2 linked regions of the Danio rerio genome follow. The protein of the gene in region 1 interacts with the protein of each later gene in a biochemical or structural test. Links are inferred from orthologs where the notes say so. Each region holds a gene or a part of one and is shown in the gene's direction. Other genes may lie near its edges.

The links. The genes of interacting proteins can lie anywhere in the genome.
Region 2: the proteins of hspg2 (region 1) and fbln2 form a complex in vitro, tested with the Homo sapiens proteins (2 studies listed by BioGRID). The link is inferred for Danio rerio from reciprocal best matches to the Homo sapiens genes HSPG2 and FBLN2.

What each region holds. Positions count from the first base shown.
Region 1 is NC_133198.1:29,483,473-29,493,878, reverse strand, and holds part of hspg2 (basement membrane-specific heparan sulfate proteoglycan core protein), read left to right. Parts: intron 1-1,236; coding exon 1,237-1,383; intron 1,384-1,788; coding exon 1,789-1,923; intron 1,924-2,093; coding exon 2,094-2,275; intron 2,276-3,506; coding exon 3,507-3,702; intron 3,703-4,087; coding exon 4,088-4,267; intron 4,268-5,755; coding exon 5,756-6,016; intron 6,017-7,534; coding exon 7,535-7,691; intron 7,692-8,494; coding exon 8,495-8,592; intron 8,593-8,676; coding exon 8,677-8,943; intron 8,944-10,265; coding exon 10,266-10,378; intron 10,379-10,406. UniProt on the Homo sapiens protein: Integral component of basement membranes. Component of the glomerular basement membrane (GBM), responsible for the fixed negative electrostatic membrane charge, and which provides a barrier which is both size- and charge-selective.
Region 2 is NC_133186.1:29,445,901-29,456,306, forward strand, and holds part of fbln2 (fibulin-2), read left to right. Parts: intron 1-5,807; coding exon 5,808-5,942; intron 5,943-9,186; coding exon 9,187-9,324; intron 9,325-9,787; coding exon 9,788-9,931; intron 9,932-10,406. UniProt on the Homo sapiens protein: Its binding to fibronectin and some other ligands is calcium dependent. May act as an adapter that mediates the interaction between FBN1 and ELN.

The sequences.
Region 1 (10,406 bases):
GTTCGCAAATTATTGATGCAGTTTCCAGTATTTCATGGTAAAATTCTACTTTAGATGAAACTATGGCTAATAACTAAATAAAGAACTTCTTCTTCTTTAAGACGTTCCTGAAATTTAGTTTTACCTTTATGAGACCACTACAGAATAGAATGGAATAGAATAGAATATAATAGAATAGAATAGAATAGAATAGAATAGAATAGAATAGAATAGAATAGAATAGAATAGAATAGAATAGAATAAAATAGAATAGAATAGTTTCATTTGAATTGGACTAAAGTACAGTGATATTTAGTGCTTTATATAATTGATTCTGTCCATTCAAATGAAACATACAAAAAATCTAGACGAAAAGAGCAGAAAATATATAAAAAATGTAAATAGTGAAATTAAATCAACAATTATATGTTATTGTTATATTGTTGCAACAGACCATATCTTAAAGGAATAGTTCACCCCAAAAAATACATATATATTTTCTGACTATGTCCTCTTCCTCAAGTTGTTTTAAACCTTTATGTGATTCTTTTTTTCTCATGAACACAAAAGAAGATATTTTGAAGAATGTTGTAAACTGGTAACCATTGACATCCATAGTATAAAAAATGTCACGGTCCGGTAGTACTCTATGTCATTGGTCACTGGTTTCATTCATTCTTTCATTTATTTTCCTTCGGCTTAGTCCCTTTATTCATCAGTGGTCGCCACAGCGGAATGAACCGCCAACTTACCCAGCATATGTTTTACACAGTGGATGCCCTTAAAGCTGCAACCCAGTACTGGGAAACACCCATTTACTCTGATTCACTCACACTACGGCCAATTTAGTTTACCTGATTCACCTATAGCACATGTCTTTGGACTGTGGGGGAAACCGGAGCACCAGTAGGAAACCCACGCAAACACAGGGAGAACATGCAAACTTCACACAGAAATGGCAATTGACCCAGCTGGTACTCGAAACCGCACCCTAATTGCTGTGAGGCAACAGGGCTAATTACTGAGCCACCATGTCACCCTCATAACTTTTGTGTTTAACAGAAGAAAGAAACTCAAACAGGTTTGTAACAAATGAAGGGTGAGTAAACGAATGCAGTATTTTCCAGTTTAGATGAACTATTCCTTTAAAATGTGCTACAATTTGAAGCAAAACACTTAACTAACATTTGTTTACAACATACACATTGTCAGCATAGTCAGTGTGTGCTCAGTGTATTTTGTGGTTTGATTTTGGAGTAGGCCTCCAGACTCCCATTATCTCCATTGAGCCGCATAGTGCAGTGGTGAAGCAGGGCGAATCGGCGAGCTTCAGGTGCAAGGTTCACAACGGAGCCCAGCCAGTGCGACTGGAGTGGAAACTCACCAATAACCTGCCTCTGCCAGGTACTGTACACAATTTTGTTCTGTTGCCCTCTGGAAGAAGGTTTAGAAGGGCTCGAGTGTCCACTTACGTGGAAAGCACATTTTAGCTCTTTAGTGCAAGCCTCGCGTTTTAACCGGCTGCTGCACCTCGCATTTTTAATATATAATATATAATATATAAAAAAATCATAATATATAAAAAAATCTGCTTTTTGTTAATGTGACATGTTTCTGTCCGATATTACAAGATCCATGCATACTGCCACTATAAATAAAAGTTGTGTTTTGAAGGATTTGACATGTGGCCCTTTACTTGGTTTGCAAAACTTGATGCGGCCCTCGGGTCTGAAAGGTTTGCCCACCACTGTGTTAGAACATGTCAAAATCTCCATATGTGATATGTCCTTATGAACTTCTCTTCTTTAGATAATGTAAAGGTGGGTCCTGACAGTTCAATCATGACTGTTACAAATGCCCAGGCGAAAAACCAAGGCACCTACCGCTGTGTGGCCAGCAACTTGTACGGAATGACTCATAGCATCGTGTCACTCATTGTGAGAGGTAGAGCAACATTAAATGCGACATTTTTTGAAAAACTGGTTTTGTGAATTGTATTATTGCCTTCACACTTAGCACATACTATTTCTGCTTGAGATTTTCCTTACATTTATTATCATTGTTCAGGCATAATGCTCATTTCTCTCTCTTTTTTTTTCTTATTTCATTGGTAGAATCTCCTAAGGCTGTGGTGACCCCTGCAGGACCAGTGCGAGTCAGGGTCGGTGATCCCATTAATCTTGAATGCCAGGCCGCTGGAGAGCCAAGACCCTCAGTCAGATGGCACAGACTGGACAACAATCGCAAGACAATGCTGAGCAGCACCGTGCCTGTTGACTCCAGTGCTATCATACAGGTTATGAATCATTTGTTGTATTGATGATGTTGATTTCCTGATTGTTTGGCCTTTATGTTCATCAGAAAGGTTTTATACTTTGTTTACAGTGAAGAGAAAAATTAGAGAGCAGTTCAAAACACCTTTTTTGTTTGTTTTTTTATTATGTGATCATCCTGGTTAAAAAAAATTAAGTATTGCTAGTAAATAGTCAATAAATAGTAAACAAATTGTAAAATAGTAGTATTGCTAGAACAGTATTTGCTAGAAAAACGCCATTTTATTAAATAACCAAGGTACTTTAGCAAATATCCTTCATTTGTGGACAAAACATGAACAGAATTAAAGGGGTAGTTCACCCAAAAAGGGAAATTCTGTCATAATTTTTTCACTCTTTTTTGTTTCAAACTGATTTTCTTTCACAAAAGCAAATATTTTGAATAAAGCTCGAAACCTGTAACTATTGATTTGCATAATATTTGTTTTTCTTACTATGGAAGTAAGTGGTTACAGCTTTCCAGCTTTGCTCAAAACATCTTCTTTTGGGTTCAACAGAAGAAAGAAACTCAAAGGTTTGGAACAACAGGGTTAGTAAATGATGTGTAAGTAAAAAAAATTTGGGTAAACTATCCTTTAAAGCCATCGTCATTTTTTGCCCCATTGACTTTTAAAACTTCTGTTTCGTACGTCGTCACTGTTTTGCAAACTAAATTCCTGAAATTGAATGCTTGCTTTGAATGATGTCAGCTAGTCACTCTCATCCTGCTATCACTGACTGAAGTTGCTTTCTTAGTCATAACATTGTCATCAAGGAATTTCCAGACATTTTAACAAGGTTTAGATCAGGACTTTGGGCTCCCATTTTATTATTTCATTGTTTTCATCTCCTTCATCTATGTTGTAATGGCACTCATTGACCTGCATAAGCATTGCTGACTGATTAGGCTTTATATGCAAGAAAAGTAACCTTTTTGAATCTGTTTCTCAAACAGCAGGATACTGTATGCTGAGATCAGACCTTCAGTGCTGAATTGGCGTTTATGTATAATGATACAGCCACTGAAAGGGATTTAAAAGTGTTTTTTATGACCATCCTTTTTTCAAATTTCTTACTGTGCTTCATAATATTTGTAACTAATGAAGTGTGTAAAAAACTGCTCTTTTATTAGTAAAGGATCATTTTAAATAGGACTAAGTAGTTACCTCAGCATTGAAAAAACTGACTGTTCTGTAATTATGATCTCCACTGTAGGTGTTGGTTGCTCGACCGGAGGATAGTGGCACATATGTGTGCTCAGCGCAGAATAACCAGGGCACAACTGAGACTCGAGTGGAGGTGTTTGTAGAAGGAGGCCCTCAGGTGCCAACTGTTCCCCGTGCCAGTGTCCGTGAACCCATGATAATAGTGGTAGAGGGATCAACTGCCACACTGCATTGTGATGCCCATGGTAGGTGCTACTGTAAGCCCTTGGTTAAAGGGATAGCTCATCCAAAAATGAACATTCTGTCAGTTTTTACTCATCCTCTACTTGTTTCAAACCTGTTTGAGTTTCTTTCATCCATTGAGAACACAAAAATGCTGGAAAAAACATACCTCCATAGTATTTTTTTCCTATCATGTATGTCAGTGGCTGCTATTTTCCAACATTTTTCAAACTGTCTTAATTTGTGTACAACAGAAGAAAGAAATTCATACATTTTTAGAACCAAATGAGTGTAAATAAATGGTGAGGCAATTTAAATTTTTGAGTGAACTATCCATTTAAAAGTACCAGTAATAAACCTTAGTCTAATTTTAAAGCGTGTTCTAAAGCTCTTATATATTAACTACAGGATTCCCAAAACCCACCATCACATGGTTTAAAGAACGCTCGTCTCTTCCTTGGAGACACAAGATTGTGGACAACAGCCTGATCTTGCCTAATGTAGGCCGTCAGGACTCTGGTCAGTACGTCTGCAATGCCACTAACCATCTGGGCACCAGTGAAGTCACCATTATGCTGGAAGTAGACAGTGAGTACTTTGAAATTATTTGCTAGAAAAAAAATGTCTTTAAACTAATTAAATGTATACACAATTATCTTTTTGTGACATATTTGTACATTAGTTAACACAAACTTCCAGAAATGAATTTCGTTATTTCAGAAATGTAAGAATTTTGATTAGACTACAAACTATTACTATAAATCTAAAAAGTGAGATTTATTTGGCATAATTTACTTGTCTTCCTGGTATAGTACCATTTTTGAGTTTAAAATTGTGGGATAACAAGGTTATGTAGTAGCGTAAAATAAGTTAAACTATTTTTTTGTAATTGAAGTATAAAACGATTAGCATAATTATAGTAAGTTGTAATAAAATGTGTTAACTCCCACCCAGAACTGAGCTCGAGCTCTGTCACTGTTGGTGTCAGAAGTGGGATAACGTTTGGTAGAAGTATTGAGAGTCTGGATAGCGAGTTTTGTGTACAAATATATCTTCTTACTTTATTGTCTTTATTTCTTGTTTTGTTGTTTGTTTATTTTTGTATATATTTTGACTATTTTTGGGAATTTTGAATTGGACACTTTGCACTATAAATAAACAAACCTTTGCACCATAGTACTATATCGGCTGAGCCTTAATTCTTATTTGTTTCTTGCTTCCCACAATTAACCATAACAACTCCTCTGTGTGACAAGTGGTGTCAGAAGAACTGGCATTAAGTGTTTAAGTGTTTTGGAGAAGATTATTATTGTGGTTTAAATGATAATTATGTTTTAAGTGTTACGAGAGTGGTACAGTAGGTCACAAAAAGGGTGGGAGTTTGGCCTATCAAAGCAGTGACCATACCCCAAGATATTTGTTTGTTAACCAAGTCAACGAGAACGTTCGAGCAAACCCTCTTTTATGTATATTGTGGATATATATATATATATATATATATATATATATATATATTTTTTTTTTAATATTTTTTTTTCTTTTTTTTTTTTTCTTTATTATTTATTTAGTTTTTTTTAAGCACCATTTTAAGGTCAAAATTATTAGCCCCTTTAAGCTGTTTGTTTTTTTCGATAGTCTACAGAACAAATAATGATTCTGACTTCAACTGTATATATATATATATATATATATATATATATATATATATATATATATATATATATATATATATATATATATATATATATATATATATATATATATATATATATATATATATATATAATAATCTTCACTGTAGACTGTTTAGACCTGCCAGCACTGTAAATAAAACACTGTGCTCTGGAGTGCTATTGAGTACAACGTAATTTTTGTTGCCCCCAGAGTGAGCTGAGTCGGCTCTGTTGCATTTTGCAATTATGTGTGATTATATTTTGTTTTGGTCAGATATTTTTACTTAAAAACATTTGATCAGCTGTGCAAATTTTTCCAAGTGTGGAGCATATTTTCCTGCTGTTGTAAAGCCAGCTGTAATTATCCAACATCCTCTAATTGACGTGTGTTTGGTTTGTGCAGCCCCACCTTATGCCACTTCCTTGCCTAATGACGTGTCTGTGCGCGTGGGTGAAGTAATCCGGCTGCAGTGCCTGGCCCACGGCACACCACCACTGCGATATGAATGGACTAAAATCAACGGCAGTCTGCCCTCTACTGCCCAGCTGCAGGGAGGAGATCTGCAAATCAACCTGGCCAAAGAAAACGATGCGGGCACATACAGGTGTGTGGCCAGCAATAAGGTTGGCAAGAGCGAAGCACTGGCCAAAGTCTCTGTCCGATGTAAGTATTGCTCCTTTCAGTACGTGTGAACACACCAGTCTTACAGATATAGTACCGGTCAAAGGTTTGGGATCAGTAAGATTCTTAAATGTTTTTAAAGAAAGCATATTTTGCTCTTCAAGGCTGTATTTGTTTGATCAAAATACGGTAAAAGCTGTAAAATATTATTATATTTAAAATAGTTTTCTTATCGAATGTAGTTTAAAATAATATTTATTCCTGTGCTTTATGCTGAATTTTCAGTGTCTTTGATGTCACATGATGCTTCAAAAATCATTCTAATAAGATTATTTGCTGCTTTATTATGATCAAAACAATCAATAATAATGATCTCAAATCTGTAAAATTGCGAAATATCATTGCAGTTTAAAATAGTTTTTTTTTTCCTAAATGTAGTTTTGAATATTATTTATTCCTGTGCTTTATCTAAAGCTGCATTTTCAAGGTCTTTGTTGTCTTTGGTTGAAAAACATGTAATGTTGGTAAATTTGACAATTTAGGATTCTTAGATGAAGAGAAAGTTCAAGATAACAGCATTAACATTTAAAATGTTTTTAATTTACTCACGATTGAACCAGTTAATGTGTCCTTCATGGATGCAAGTACATACAGTTGAAGTCAGAATTATTAACCCCCCCCCAAATAATTAGGCCCCATTTATTTCCCCCCCAATTTCTGTTTAATGGAGAGAAGGTTTCTTCAACACATTTCTAAACAAAATAATTTTAACAACTCATTTAATAACTAAATTTCTTTTATCTTTGCCATGATGACAGTAAATCATATTTGACTAAATATTTTCAAGACACTTCTATACAGCTAAAAAGTGACATTTAAAGGCTTAACCAGGTTAGTTAGGTTAACTAGGCAGGTTAGGCTAATTAGGCAAGTTTTTGTATAACGATGGTTTAATATAGCTTAAAGGGACTTATAATTTTGTCCTTAAAATTGTTTTAAAAAATTAAAAACTGCTTTTATTCTAGCCAAAATAAAGCAAATAAGACTTTCTCCACAAGAAAAAATATTAACAGACATACTGTGAAAATTTCCTTGCTCTGTTAAACATCATTTGGGAAATATTCAAAAAAGAAAATAAAGTTCAAAGGGGGGCTAATAATTTTGATTTTAACTGTATATTTAGAATGGGAGTTTTTATGTATTAACATTGATACTAATAATATTCATGTAGTATTAATAAATATTTCTTGAGCAGCAGATCATCATATTATAATTATTTCTAAAAAGTCATGTGACAATTGACAAGAGTACTGAGAATTGATGCTGAAAATTTAACATTAAATCACAAATTAAACCTGAAACTGCGTTCAATAATACAGTGGTTTTAAATTGTAATAATATTTGACAGTATTTGATTGTTTTTTACTGTATTTTTGATAAACCAAATCCAGCCTTTCTAACTAGAATAGAACAAAAAAGTCTTGCTGATTCTAGATGTTGGGCTGGTTATAGACTTTTTCACTTTTCCTCATCTTGAGCTCTGTCCTGTCTTTTCTGCAGCTTCTCTGTCAGTGAAAGTGTCTCCTCAGGTGGAGGTGAAGGCTCTGGGCAGTGCTGTTGAGTTCACCTGCGCTGCTAAAGGAGGGCTACAGATTGAGTGGCTGAAGGAGGGAGGAGTCCTGCCACCAAACCATCACATTAAAGACGGGATTCTCAGGTGACTGACTACAAAACATCAAAACTGTCAGTGTGTAATAAGATGAATTTATTTGATAAAAACTGTAAAAATGTTGTGGACGCCAATAGCCTGGTGATTAAATGTGTTGAGTTTGATTCCCTTTCCATCTGTCTCCCTCTCCACTGTCCTGTCTAATAAATGTTAAAAATCTCTTAAATATAATTATAAATAAAAAAAAGTTAAAAATATTTAAATATTAAAAAAAAAAATTTTTTTTTAATGTTTTAACCGACCCCAAACATTTGAATTGAAGTCATTAATTCACATAAATACACATTCATATTTATTTTATATTGCATTAAATATTTATTTATTGTTTAAAATGTATTTTTAGTCATTAAAGTCATTGTTTTCTTATTGATTCATTCCTTAATTAAATTCAATTCAGTGAAGGCATTATTTTACTTAAAAAAGATGCATTTTTACCCCTTCATTAAATATTTATTCATTTTTTAAAACAAATTTTGTAATGGTTGATTTTAATGCTGTTAAAATAGGGCAAGGGGCGAAGAAGTGGCGCAGTAGGTAGTGCTGTTGCCTCACAGCAACAAGGTCTAAAGGGACTAAGCCGACAAAAAAATGAATGAATAAATGAATGAATGAATGAATGAATAAAAGAGGGCAAACAGAGGAAAAATGTTAATTTTTATTCCAATTCCAAGTTTATTCCAATATCGTTATTAATTTTATTTCACAATAAAGTGTGTAGTATTTGTGTTATATAAAGCTTTGAATTATTTTCTGTGTGTTTTTAATCATGATGTTTGTTATTATTCATGCAGAATTGAGAATCTTGAGCAAAGCAATGAGGGAATCTACACCTGCAGAGTTACAAGTCAGTTTGAACATGCTCAGGACAGCGCCAAACTCCTCATTCAAGGTCCTCTATGATACCCAAAATAAAATTAGCTTCTCGAGTTACCTATCTTTAAATCCCTCTGACTTAGTCTTTTTGTTTTCATAGCTCTTCCCAAAGTGAAGATCAACGTGCGTACATCAGTGCAGACGGTGATGGTGGGAAACTCTGTGGAGTTTGAGTGTCATGCCATTGGTGACCCCGAGCCCACAGTGCGCTGGAGTAAAGTCGGAGCTCCTCTTCCTGATCATGTGGAAATAAGAGGAAACATCTTGAGGATTGATCAAGTGTTCGAGTCTGATTCAGGACAGTATCGCTGCACAGCCACTAATGACGTGGGCTCAGAGCATTCACATGTGGTGCTTAACATCCAGTGTGAGTATGTTATTACTGTATATCCAGGATGCTTATGATAATTCTTTTGCCACTGATTTTAATAGATGGGTTAGTCTAAAATAGTCTAAACTCCTTTTTATTTCCAGCATATGGAGAAATGCATTTTAAATTGGTATTAAATACTTTTTTTGATCTGGTTTGCACGAATATATCTTAATTTATTAGTAGTATTAGTATTAACTAGTATTTTTGATTTAAAACTACATTACCCATAGTTCTACACAAAACATTCCACCAATCAGAGAGTCAGGGCCAGCAAAGATAGTGCAACAGTTGTGTTTTTACAACTTCATTCATCAATTTTCTTGTCGGCTTAGTCCCTTTATTAATCCGGGGTCGCCACAGCGGAATAAAGCGCCAACTTATCCAGCAAGTTTTTACGCAGCGGATGCCCTTCCAGCCGCAACCCATCTCTGGGAAACATCCACACACACATTCACACACACACTCATACACTACGGACAATTTAGTCTACCCAATTCACCTGTACCATATGTCTTTGGACTGTGGGGGAAACCGGAGCACCCGGAGGAAACCCAAGCGAAGGCAGAGAGAACATGCAAACTCCACACAGAAACGCCAACTGAGCCGAGGTTTGAACCAGCGAGCCAGCGACCTTCTTGCTGTGAGGCGATAGCACTACCTACTGCGCCACTGCCTCACCATTTTTACAACCAACATCTCTAAAAACATCTCAAATATTATAAATATTATTATAACAACAACTGATAATCTTTTTAAAGACACACTTGTTTTGAGTTCTGAGATTGTGCAATTGATTGTATAACCGATCTGTTTGTGTTAATTCAACCTAATTTTTAAAACGATTGTGTTTAAGCGCTGAATTCATTTAGAAAAACTAAATTACCCATGATACAGTAGAGAACCTTGCACCAGAGTCACAACAAGTAAAGCATGACAAGAGATTTTTTCCTCCCACTGTCATGGAGCACTGCAATTGATGTAACTGAGTAGGGTTTTTATTGATTTTGCAGAATGTGTTTACATTACATTTTTCAAAGACTTTTTTTCTCCAACTGAAAGTTAGTCATTTTTGATTCATGTTATAAATGGCCTCAGTTAATGACTTATGAAGCTTTAATGATGGTATTTGTAAATGCTTTTAAGAAAACATTCCCAGAATGCTGCTAAAAAAGTGGATGGGAATTAAAAATTGACACCTATAAAATAGACATCAAGCTCAGTGTTTTCTAGAAGTGGAGTTTTGTACTTAGTTGCATTAAATGCAACATATTAAAGGGATGTTCTTCAAATATAACTGCCCTCTGTACATTTTCTAGCCTTGCCTCAGATTGCTGCACTGCCTGAGTCAAAGGAAGTCACAATTGGCTCTGATGCTGTCCTGCCATGCATCGCTTCTGGGTACCCAGTGCCAACTATTACATGGTCAAAGGTAACCGTACATTTTGTGGATAAATTTG
Region 2 (10,406 bases), on another chromosome or scaffold:
ATGGGCATTTGAAATAGGATTCTCTTAAAAAGATTTTGCAGACTTTGCAGAGAACTAGATTATGGGACAAAAAGGTGCAGTCCGTTTAAAAAAAAAAGATGCTGTCATCATTTACTCAAATGATGTGTCATGAATTGACAGTTTTGTTTAACCAAAAATATATGGAATGAGTTAAAGGGCACCTATTTTACCCCTTTTTCAAGATTTTAAATATGTCTTTTGTGTCTCCAGAATGTGTCTGTAAAGTTTCAGCTCAAAATACCCATCAGATGTTTTTGTTGCCTGTGCCTTTAATACAAATGAAGTGGTTCTCTCTTCCCACCGTTCCAACGTGCGTCGTAATTGATTAATGTTTATTTGTTTTCTGCCAATCAATTTAGTGTAAATTAACTAAGCCAAAAGAAAATGAATGAAAGAATGAACAACATTTAGTTTTTCAGTGAGAACATATTAGAATAACAGAAAATTTGACATTTAAGACATTGAAGGATGAGAATTTTTTTTTTCAGGGTAAAAGAGGTGCAGCAATTTAGTAAGCCATCTCTTCTTTATTTAACCTTCTCCCCATTTCTCTGAACATTTCCCAACATTGTATGTATGCAATGTACTGTACTTTCATATTTCCAGATAGTTTTTTTCCCCAGTGTATTTTGATTTGCCTAAGTTTTTGAGCTTTTTTGAATGAATATATTCAATATGAAGTTTATCTGTGCTCCAAAACAATGACAGAATTCAAATATATTACAATATATATCTAAAATATGAGTCTTACAGTCTCTCATTACCAACTGTATGAATCAACGATTCTGATGACATCACTCTCTGCATGTCAGCCTCTCATCACATTTTCTTTCAATTAAATGCTCTCTAGAATCTGAGGAATCACTCTTCAATGCTATAAATAGATGGTGAAGTTGCAGCTGAAGTACTTATTTGCAAAATTACTGATCTACATGGTAAAAAATATCCATAAATTAGTTTTCCATATTTTGTGATTAATTTTTTTTTTTTCCCCAGTATATTTATGCATTTGAATTGCATTATAAGTCCTTAATCGTTCTTTCAACAACTTTTAACCTTGAGAAGTTTTTAAAAAGTGAGTTTTGTATATTATGCTACAAAATGTTCCAGGTTACAGAAGTAACCCTTCATTTCCCGAGGAGGGGAACGGAAGTGCTATACAGTGGATTTGATCTTAGGAAAATCCGCGTATGGGAGGTTTCGGTTCAGAAGCCGCTTGTCTGAAAGAGTATTGAACGGGGCAATGAATGCAATGAATTGGCAGAGTAAGCTTGCACAGGTGTGCTTCATTGCCAATTATCCCAGCATATAAGCACACCTGGAGCGAGCAAACGCCATCCTTTTAAGCTGAAGAGACTTTCAAACAGCTAAGGGACAGTCATTATGGCGACGGAGTATAGCACTTCCGTTCCCCGTCTCAGGGAACGAAGGCTTACTTCTGTAACCTCGAACATTCCCCTTCGATTGGGGAACTTCAGTGCTATACAGTGGATTTGATCTTGGGAAAATCCACGTATGGGAGAACTATGGAAAGCGCCATAATGACTGCACCTTACCAACACCCCCGATGAGGGGATAGTCAAGCACCCACATCATGGGAGGCGCGGTCCTCCAACGTGTCCCTGGCCCTAATTTATCCTACTTCAACAGAAGTCTTACGGATTTAGATATATTTTTTTGGGAAGTCGTGAGCATCTAGATAATTCTATTCGAAATACGACAGTACGTTGGGAAGCGTGCAATCCCAATAGGGAGGACGCTGCGAAGGCCATCCGCTACCCAAGGGGGAATAGATGGCAGAATTTACATATGGACTAGCCCTAAGAAGGGGGAGTACGCATAGAAAAAAGTGGTTAGCGAGGAGGGAAGACACGGGTCCACCCGGGGGGGGACTTAACCGTGGCGGAATAAGCATGGATGGGATCGCCTAGTGGGGATCACGCATAGCAGACACCTATACCCAAAACGCGGGCTGACCAGCGGGCAGACCTCCAACGTAAAGGGCCAGCAGGTGACTCCTCCGCTGAGTCAGTGCTGGGGGCCACGGAGGAATCTGCAGGGCTCACCTGACGGGGAACTTTACTGACAAATAAAAAGGCGCACGTACCTCCGTGTTAGAGAGAATGCCGCAGCAAGCGTGTTTCAACACCCTACCGAGTTGTTTCCTCAATCACCAAAGGGTTACCTAATACCCTTGAGAAAACCGGCTCCACTCGCAGATTGTAAAACCTTGCAAATGTGTTGGGTGTAGCCCAGCCCGCAGCTCTACAGATGTCTGTTAAAGAGGCGGCGCATGCGCGCGCCCGAGAGGATGCGAAGATCCGAGGGGAGTGCGCACGCAGTCTCGGGGGATGCGGCTCACCTCGGCTCTGATAAGCGAGAGAATGGCATCCACAATCCAGTGGGAAAACTTAATTTCAATACGGCACTTCCCTGCTGCCGACCGCCATAACAGACGAAGAGCTGCTCAGATGATCTAAACTCTGAGTGCAGTCCGGATAATACGCAAGACGCAAACTGGACAATGAAGAAAGGGCTGGGTCTGCCTCCTCCGGGGGCAGCGCTTGCATGCTCACTACCTGGTATTAAAACGGAGTGGTAGGAACCTTGGGCACATATCGCGGGCGGGGTCTCAGGACGTGAGAGAAAGCCAGCCCAATTACAGGCACAAGTCACTGACTGAAAAAATGCCTCCGGGTCCCCGACCCTCTAATCGATATCAACGCGACCAGCAGAGCTGTCTTCAGGGACAGAAAGATACTGAGTCGAGGATCGAAGGGATCTGACGCGGCTCGTGTAATGAGGGCGAGATCCTAAGAGGGCATGGGAGGGGGCGGGGAGGATTAGTTCGCCTATCGCCCCTAAGGAACCGGATGATGAGGTTATGCATTCCCACGGTGGTGCCAGCCACCGCGTCATGAGAGCGGAGATGGCAGCCATGTAACCTTGAGTGTGGAGGGCGACAGCCTGCTCTCCAGCTTCTCTCGGCGTAAAGAAAGCACAACGCTGATCTGGCAAATTATGGGGATCTTTTCTGCGAGAGACACACCATTCAGTGAATAGACTCCACTTCAGGGCATAGGCGCGCTCGGGAAGGGGGCTCTAGCCAGAGTGACGGTAATAGCCACCGCAGTCGGAGGTTACCTAAGTCTTCCTCGCGTCTAAGGACCTCTAAAGATTGTCGAGGGTGCCAGATGGTGCCCTGTCCCTGAGAGAGTAGGTGCTCTCTCGAAGGGAACTGCCAGGGGAGGGCTATCGCGAGGAGGGAGAGCTCTGACATCCAGGTCCGGTTGAGCCAGAGGGGCGCAACCAGCAACCTGTTCCTCGTCCTCCCTGACCTTGCACAGTAACTGCGCGAGCAGGCTCACTGGGGGAAACGCGTATTTGCGCATGCCCCGAGGCCAGCTGTTAGCCAGTGCATCTGTGCCGAGAGCACTCGGTCAGGGAAAAGAACAACTGGCAATGAGCGATCTCGGGGGAAGCAACCGATTGATCTAGGCTTCCCCGAATCGCGCCCATATCAGCTGAACAGACTCGGGGTGGAGTCTCCATTCTCCAGGACGTAAGGCTGCCGTAAAAAAGCGCATCGGCTGCACGGTTGAGCTTGCCTGAATATGAATGGCGTGCAGAGATTTCAGCCGCGGATGACTCCTGAGGAGCAGACGGCGGGCGAGCTGAGACATGCGGCGAGAGCGCGTGCCCCCTATATGGTTGATATATGCCGCCGCCGCCGTACTGTCCGTCCTGACCAGCAAGTGTTGCCGCTCTAGCACCGGAAAAAAACGGTGGAGAGCGAGGAACACTGCCAACAGCTCCAGGCGATATGGCAATGCAACTGGGTACCTTTCCAGATCCGCAGCCGCATGCCCGCAACGCACAGCCCCCCAGCCCGTGTTGGAAGCGTCTGTTGAAACGACAACAAGACTGGACGCCTGTCCTAGAGGCACTCAGGCCTGTAGGAACGAGGGGTCGCTCCAAGGGCTGAGGGCGCGGCGACACAGCGCAGTAACAGAGACTCGGTGTGCGCGCGCGTGCCATGTGCATCTGGGGACTCGATCGTGAAGCCAGTGCTGATGTGGTCTCATATAGAGTAATCAGAGCAGCCTGAAGCGGCTGCGGATGCCATATGCCCCAGGAGCCTCTGAAATAGTTTCAGTGGGACCACTATTTTACTGTCGAGCTCTCTCAGACAGTACAGCATCAGCAGTCCAGCTCCAGCCCGAGAGAAGAGATCCTATGCACGGGGGCGAGTTTGCTCTTTTCTCGGTTGACCTAAAACCCCAACAGGTGGAAGTGCCGGAGCACTTTGTCTCTGTGCATAATCAATTGCTCCGAGAGAAGGCAAAAATCAGCCAGTCATTAAGAAAACTGAGTATGCGGATGCCCGTAAGCCGAAGGGGCGCTAAGGCACCCTCCGCTGGCTTGGTGAGGACCCGCGGAGACAGAGAGAGCCTGAAGGGGAGGGCTTTGTATTGCCACGCTCGACCTTCAAACCGCAGAAACTGACGGTGGCGAGGAAGAGTGGAGACATGGAAATACGCGTCCATCAGGTCTAATGCTGCAGACCAACCCAGAGGATGAACGCACCGGAGGATGCACTTCTGCGTGAGCATTCTGAACGGCAGCTTGTGCAGACAGCGGTTCAAAACGTGCAGATCTAGGATTGGCCGTGACTCACCGCTCTTTTGGGCACGATGAAGTGTGGGCTGTAAAACCCGCTCTCCATCTCGGCTGGAGGGAGCGGCTCGATTGCATCCTTCGCCAGGAGGACAGCAATCTCCTCTCACAAGACAGGGGCGGACAGGGGGCTGACCCTGGTGAATACACACCCGTGACTTGGGGGGCTATTGCATAGCCGACAACTCAGCAGGACAACAGCCTTCCAGGACTGAGTTTGGACACCCCTGTTCTAAATGAAGAAATGCAGACCTATACCTACAAAATAATGTAAATCCAGGCAAACTGCAAATTTTTCAGTGGTCTGTTCAGTTTTTTTGATAATGTTGACGGTGTTGATAATGTAAACATAGCTAGCTAGACTTCTACACTACACCGCAGCTCTGTACTTGCAGTATCATTATGTGCTGCTGCCTAAAAACAAGACTCACTTTTGGTCACTGTCATGACAACAGTTTTTGATTCTGAAATTTTTCCTTCTGGAAATAAGTTTGGTATTATCCAAAAGTTTGAGCATCTACAAAAAATTCCTAAAATTGAAATCCGTTGTCTACTCTGTGATGTTAGCAGCTGTTGTGTGGAACAGATAAGGTAACATGTGCTCTTTTCTCTTCTGTCCTAATGTGGCCATGCAGGAGAAAGCACAAACATTTCCACTCGGTCGCCTGAAATTATTTACCGTGGCAATAACATGACAGATTGAATCCTTTTCTTGGCCCGTAAATCAGCCATTGTCTAAGCTTCAAGTAATTATTTTCTCCTCTCTCTGGGCCATGCTCGCTTTCCAATCTTGTTTAGCCATTTTTTTTTTTCAACATAGTCCAGAGTTATTGCCTTTAATATATCTGGCCAACCGAAGATCTTGACAGTTCACCACAGCACTGGCACTAAAGAATGAGAAGCAAAATGTGCCACAGCTTACAGAAACACACAACTCCTCTCTTTGTTTTTCACACTTCTGTCTCACCTGCTTGCTTTACGACCAGCTTCAGCTTCTCCATTGCCGGATCTTGTGGTTGCAACTGTCCATTATGTCTCAGGCTGTGTGCGAGGATGAGGATGTTTTATTTTAGAGTTTAGGAAGATAATGCTGTGCTTGTGTTTTGCAGATGTGAATGAGTGTGTGACGAACACACACACCTGTCGGGCAGACGAGCGCTGCGTGAACTCAGTTGGAGGATTTGTGTGCGAAAGGATGATCTTGTGTTCGAGTGGTTACCAGCTGAGAAATGGAGTATGTGAAGGTGAGTTGGGGATACAGTATTAATAAATGCACACATGTACACTTACCGGCCACTTTATTAGGTTCACCTTACTAGTACCAGGTTGGATCCTTTTTTGCCTTCAGAACTGCCTTAATCCTTCATGGCATAGATTCAACAAGGTACTGGAAATATTCCTCAGAGAAGTATTTTTTATTAAGCAAGTTTAGAACCCAAATGTACTGTAGGGCTTATTTTACAGTGCCATTTCATATTTAGCTCTTATGTATATTTGATTATATAAAAAAAACTTTTTTAAAAATTACACAATTAGGCTTTAATTTTACTAAAAGTGCACACAGAGCATTTTCTGTTAATTGAAAAATGCTAAATGTTATGTTTACATGAACTTTGCTTTTATGTGGGATCAAATCATCAAAAGAAATGGCAGCACTCCAACTATCCCCAACTATCAGAGCTGTTCGCCGATGCATATGGACAGAATCAATAACAAACTGTCCTCCATGTTGGTCAGAGTCCTCTATCTCACACTGCTCTATGGCTCTGAGAATGGTGAGTACATCATCTGCATCTGCTGCAGAGAAGAACCAGAAAACATACAGTAAAATGCAGATTTTGCAAGCTTTCGCAGTTCGAAAGAGGCCACAGCTGATCGCCTCGGGCTTTCGCTTGCTAACATCTAAAGCATCCCGCACTCTGTTTTTACACAAAGCAGATGCCTACATACATCTAACCGTTGCCTTTGAACAGAGAAAAACTTTGCAAGAGTCTCTGATTCTTGTCAGGACTTGGCCTGGTGCATGATAATAAGTTGAAGAGATAATTATTGTAATAAGTGACGGAATGGGAATAGTGGATTTTAAGTAATTGCAGGCTTTGGGCCATTGAAAATTCATGCTCTGTTGCTGCATTGCATCTGTAGGATTTGGAAAGACTTGCGCTGCCCTCGATTAAAGATTTTCCTGGTCGACTAGTAATCGTTCATATTAAGCAATTAGTTGACAAATCAAACATGTGAAGCCGTTTAAATCATAATATTGAGCCTTTACACAGCCTAATAATTGATCTATCATCCACATTTACCAAGTCACAGCACACCGGCAGACGTAAAAATTGTGTATGAAGGCTACATTCACATATTAGGGGAGAGTATGGTACAAAGTAATGTGAGGAAAAATGTGACATGGAGTTTTAAGGTGTTTGCTCAGGGTTAACCATGGCAAACTTCCGAGGATTTCAACACAATGTCAGCAGATGTTCTCATGCCAGTTACTGAAAAACATAGCAGAATTTTTTTTCAGCATAAAATAATTTTTATTATACTCTTATTTTTTTTATATATATATATAAAAAAAAATCTGTGATTTTGAAAATATGTAAGTAAAATTTTATATTGTTTTGGTTACTGTCTTTAGGGCTAAAAGACACACTGTTGGACATTGGAATTTTGAGTGTAACATTGTAAACTTTTTATGTTAAAAAATGTATTTTAATAGAAAGTATTTTTTCATTGCTAATAATGCAAATAAATTCATTGTAATAATGGATAATAATGCAAATAAACCCAAAATGTGTTTATAGAAATAGATAAATAAATAAATAAATAAATACACATGCTGTGCTGTGTAGAATAAAGAGTTAAATACTGAGGAAATGTACTATCTAACGTAAACTGAATTTAAATTAATTGTGTAAAATCTGACTTTATAACTACGTGTTACAACTAACCCTCTGTCTGTTACAACTTGCCCGCAGGTGGGGTAAATAGTAACATTTTTACTCCTGGCACTTTGGCCAATACTGCACAGGAACCATAGGTCCAGCGATCATACAGCCAGTGCTCATTTGTAGGAAAGGCTTGTGTGTTGTTGGTAAAAAAAAAAAATGGTTTGTCTAATCTGATTACTTCTTTGGTCATAACCAAAAAGTGTTACTTTGTGCTCCGTTCTCCCCTAATAATATATTGATCAACAAGTGCTGAAACGTGCCGGAGTGCGATTGCCCCCCTCCCCTATCCCCCGCCCCCTCGGTCTGCCCCCAGATTGCATTTTTTACCTACCAAACCTGAGCACGCTATCGTCACTGATGATGCGAATATTCAGTTTAACTGAAAGAGAAGCTCTTTCGCTCAGCACGGTGGAGATTGCTTGGCTAAAGCGTTTTAGTCTGTTGGGATTTAGTGACACAGTGAAATATTTTTATTCACAACTTTTGACGTTCATAAATGATCATAAAAGAACTCGTGCTGTAGGTATTAGGAGGTTTGCTGAAGGTGCAGCTGACATGCAGTGAGGGGTTTGCGTCTTTATTTAAAAAGTTTGTGTTCATTGAATAGTAAGATGAAATGGGTCATGTATGGGAAAGGGATGTATGGGGTCGCCACAGCGGAATGAACCGCCAACTGATCCCGCATATGTTTTACTCAGCAGATGCCCTTCCAACCGTAACCCAACACTGGGAACCACCCATGCACACTCATTCACACACTTACACTATGGCCAATTTAGCTTATTAAATTCCCCTATACCGCGTGTCTTTAGACTGTGGGGGAAACCGGAGCACCCGTAGGAAACCCTTGGAACACGGGGAGAACATGCAAACTCAACAAAGAAAAGCCAACCGACGCAGCCGGGCTCAATTCACACACATTCTTGATTCCTAATTAAGTCACTGATATTATTCTTATGGTTTGTCAAATTTCAAAAATTAGAGTTCTTGTTACAGGATTAAAACCTGACTGATTTATCTAAACAGTTTGTAGCTTTTCAGTGCCGCTTATATCCATGTAAAAACACTTGCATGTGTCAGTATCATTAACAGGCAGCTTGTGAAATGCAAAGTCAAAAAATTTGTTTTTGTTTTGTTTTTTTCTATGATACCATGCATGAGGATGACTATGGAGGTACTGGGGGCTTGATCAGCTGTCTTAAAGTGTCTTGAAGCTGTTATTGAGCCACACTGCCACCTACTGTGAGGTTTTAACTTGTAATTGAGGATGGTTGTGATCTCTGTCCAAACCCATCTCCTCAATCAAAGCCCTCAGATGGGGCTCGGCTATTCATTATGCTGACATGCTTGCCAAATTTGGTGAGATTTACAGATTTTCCTGAAGGCCTTAAGAGGGGAAACCTAATTTGTTTGGACCTATAACAGCATCAGTCTCAAAAGCTAAACAAATCTCTCAGTGCAGGAACCCGACTGGATGGCGTCTGGCTGTCCGCTCCAGTGACCCATTTTGACATCTGCTGTGCTCTTTCTCTTCTAGACATCGACGAGTGTGTTATACGAACTCATAACTGTGGGATGGGCTTCCAGTGTCAGAATACTGATGGTTCATTCACGTGTAAGCCGAAACAACGCTGTCTCACAGGCTTCACTCAGGACTCACATGGCAACTGCATTGGTGAGAAAGACCTTTAGAATCACTTAGTGCCCCCTAGTGGACAGATGCGTATTGTCATGTAGTCAAATCAATTTTGCTTGAAAATACTCTTTATAAAATATTTATTTCTAAAAGTACTGACTCTAAAATAGTGCACCTGTCGTGCTTTTTTGAAGTATTACCTTTCATGCTGTGTTTAATATAGCTGTTTGTGAATGTAAAATGCCTGAAAGGTTTTAAAGATCAAATGCATGGTGGATAGAGTTGTTGCCTGCCAAAAAAAATATATAAACTGCCTGATCTGGGTTATAGTTTTAAACAAATTTACATTGTCAGTGTATGTTCTTCTTTGGCTGCATGCAAACAGCATGGTCTTTGACGTCAATAGGTTTGACTTGTAGCCAGATCGATTTTGCTTAAGGCATTGTTGCCATTTTTTGCTTGATTTGCATTGATTTTGCCGATTTTTCTCACTTTCTCTTAGACATTGATGAATGCAGCAGTGTGAGAGAACCATGTACGACTGGCTTCAACTGCATAAATACTGTGGGCTCCTATACCTGTCAGCGCAAGATCATCATGTGCAGTCGAGGTTACCATTCCAGTCCAGATGGAGCTCGATGTATTGGTGAGGACTATATAAATGTGCAAACATACAGCTCTGGACAAAAAAAAAAATCAGAGCACTTCATAGTTATTATTGGTTCTGTGCCATAGGTAGAGCCAGACGGAATATGTTTGCCATATAATATATCTAGTAAAAGATATTGCTGTACAAACTGTACTGTACATAAATAATTTTCATATTAGTCAATAATATTACTGTAATTAATTTTAAAAATCTGCAGAAATCTGCGGAATTCTGCACGCGCAGATTCCGGGTAGGCCTATAGGTGTGCGTTTTGAGTACAGTGTTAATTTTGTGTTTTAATGAATAAATTACTAATAGATAAATTTTGATTTCAAAATTTCAAATAAGAATAGGGTCATTTAAAGCAACTATTTGCAGAAAATCATAGTAGGTCATCATAAAATATTTTGGGGTTTAAACTCTTATTGAAGCTGATATATAAACTCATACCCAGTGTTGGACACTTTCCTTT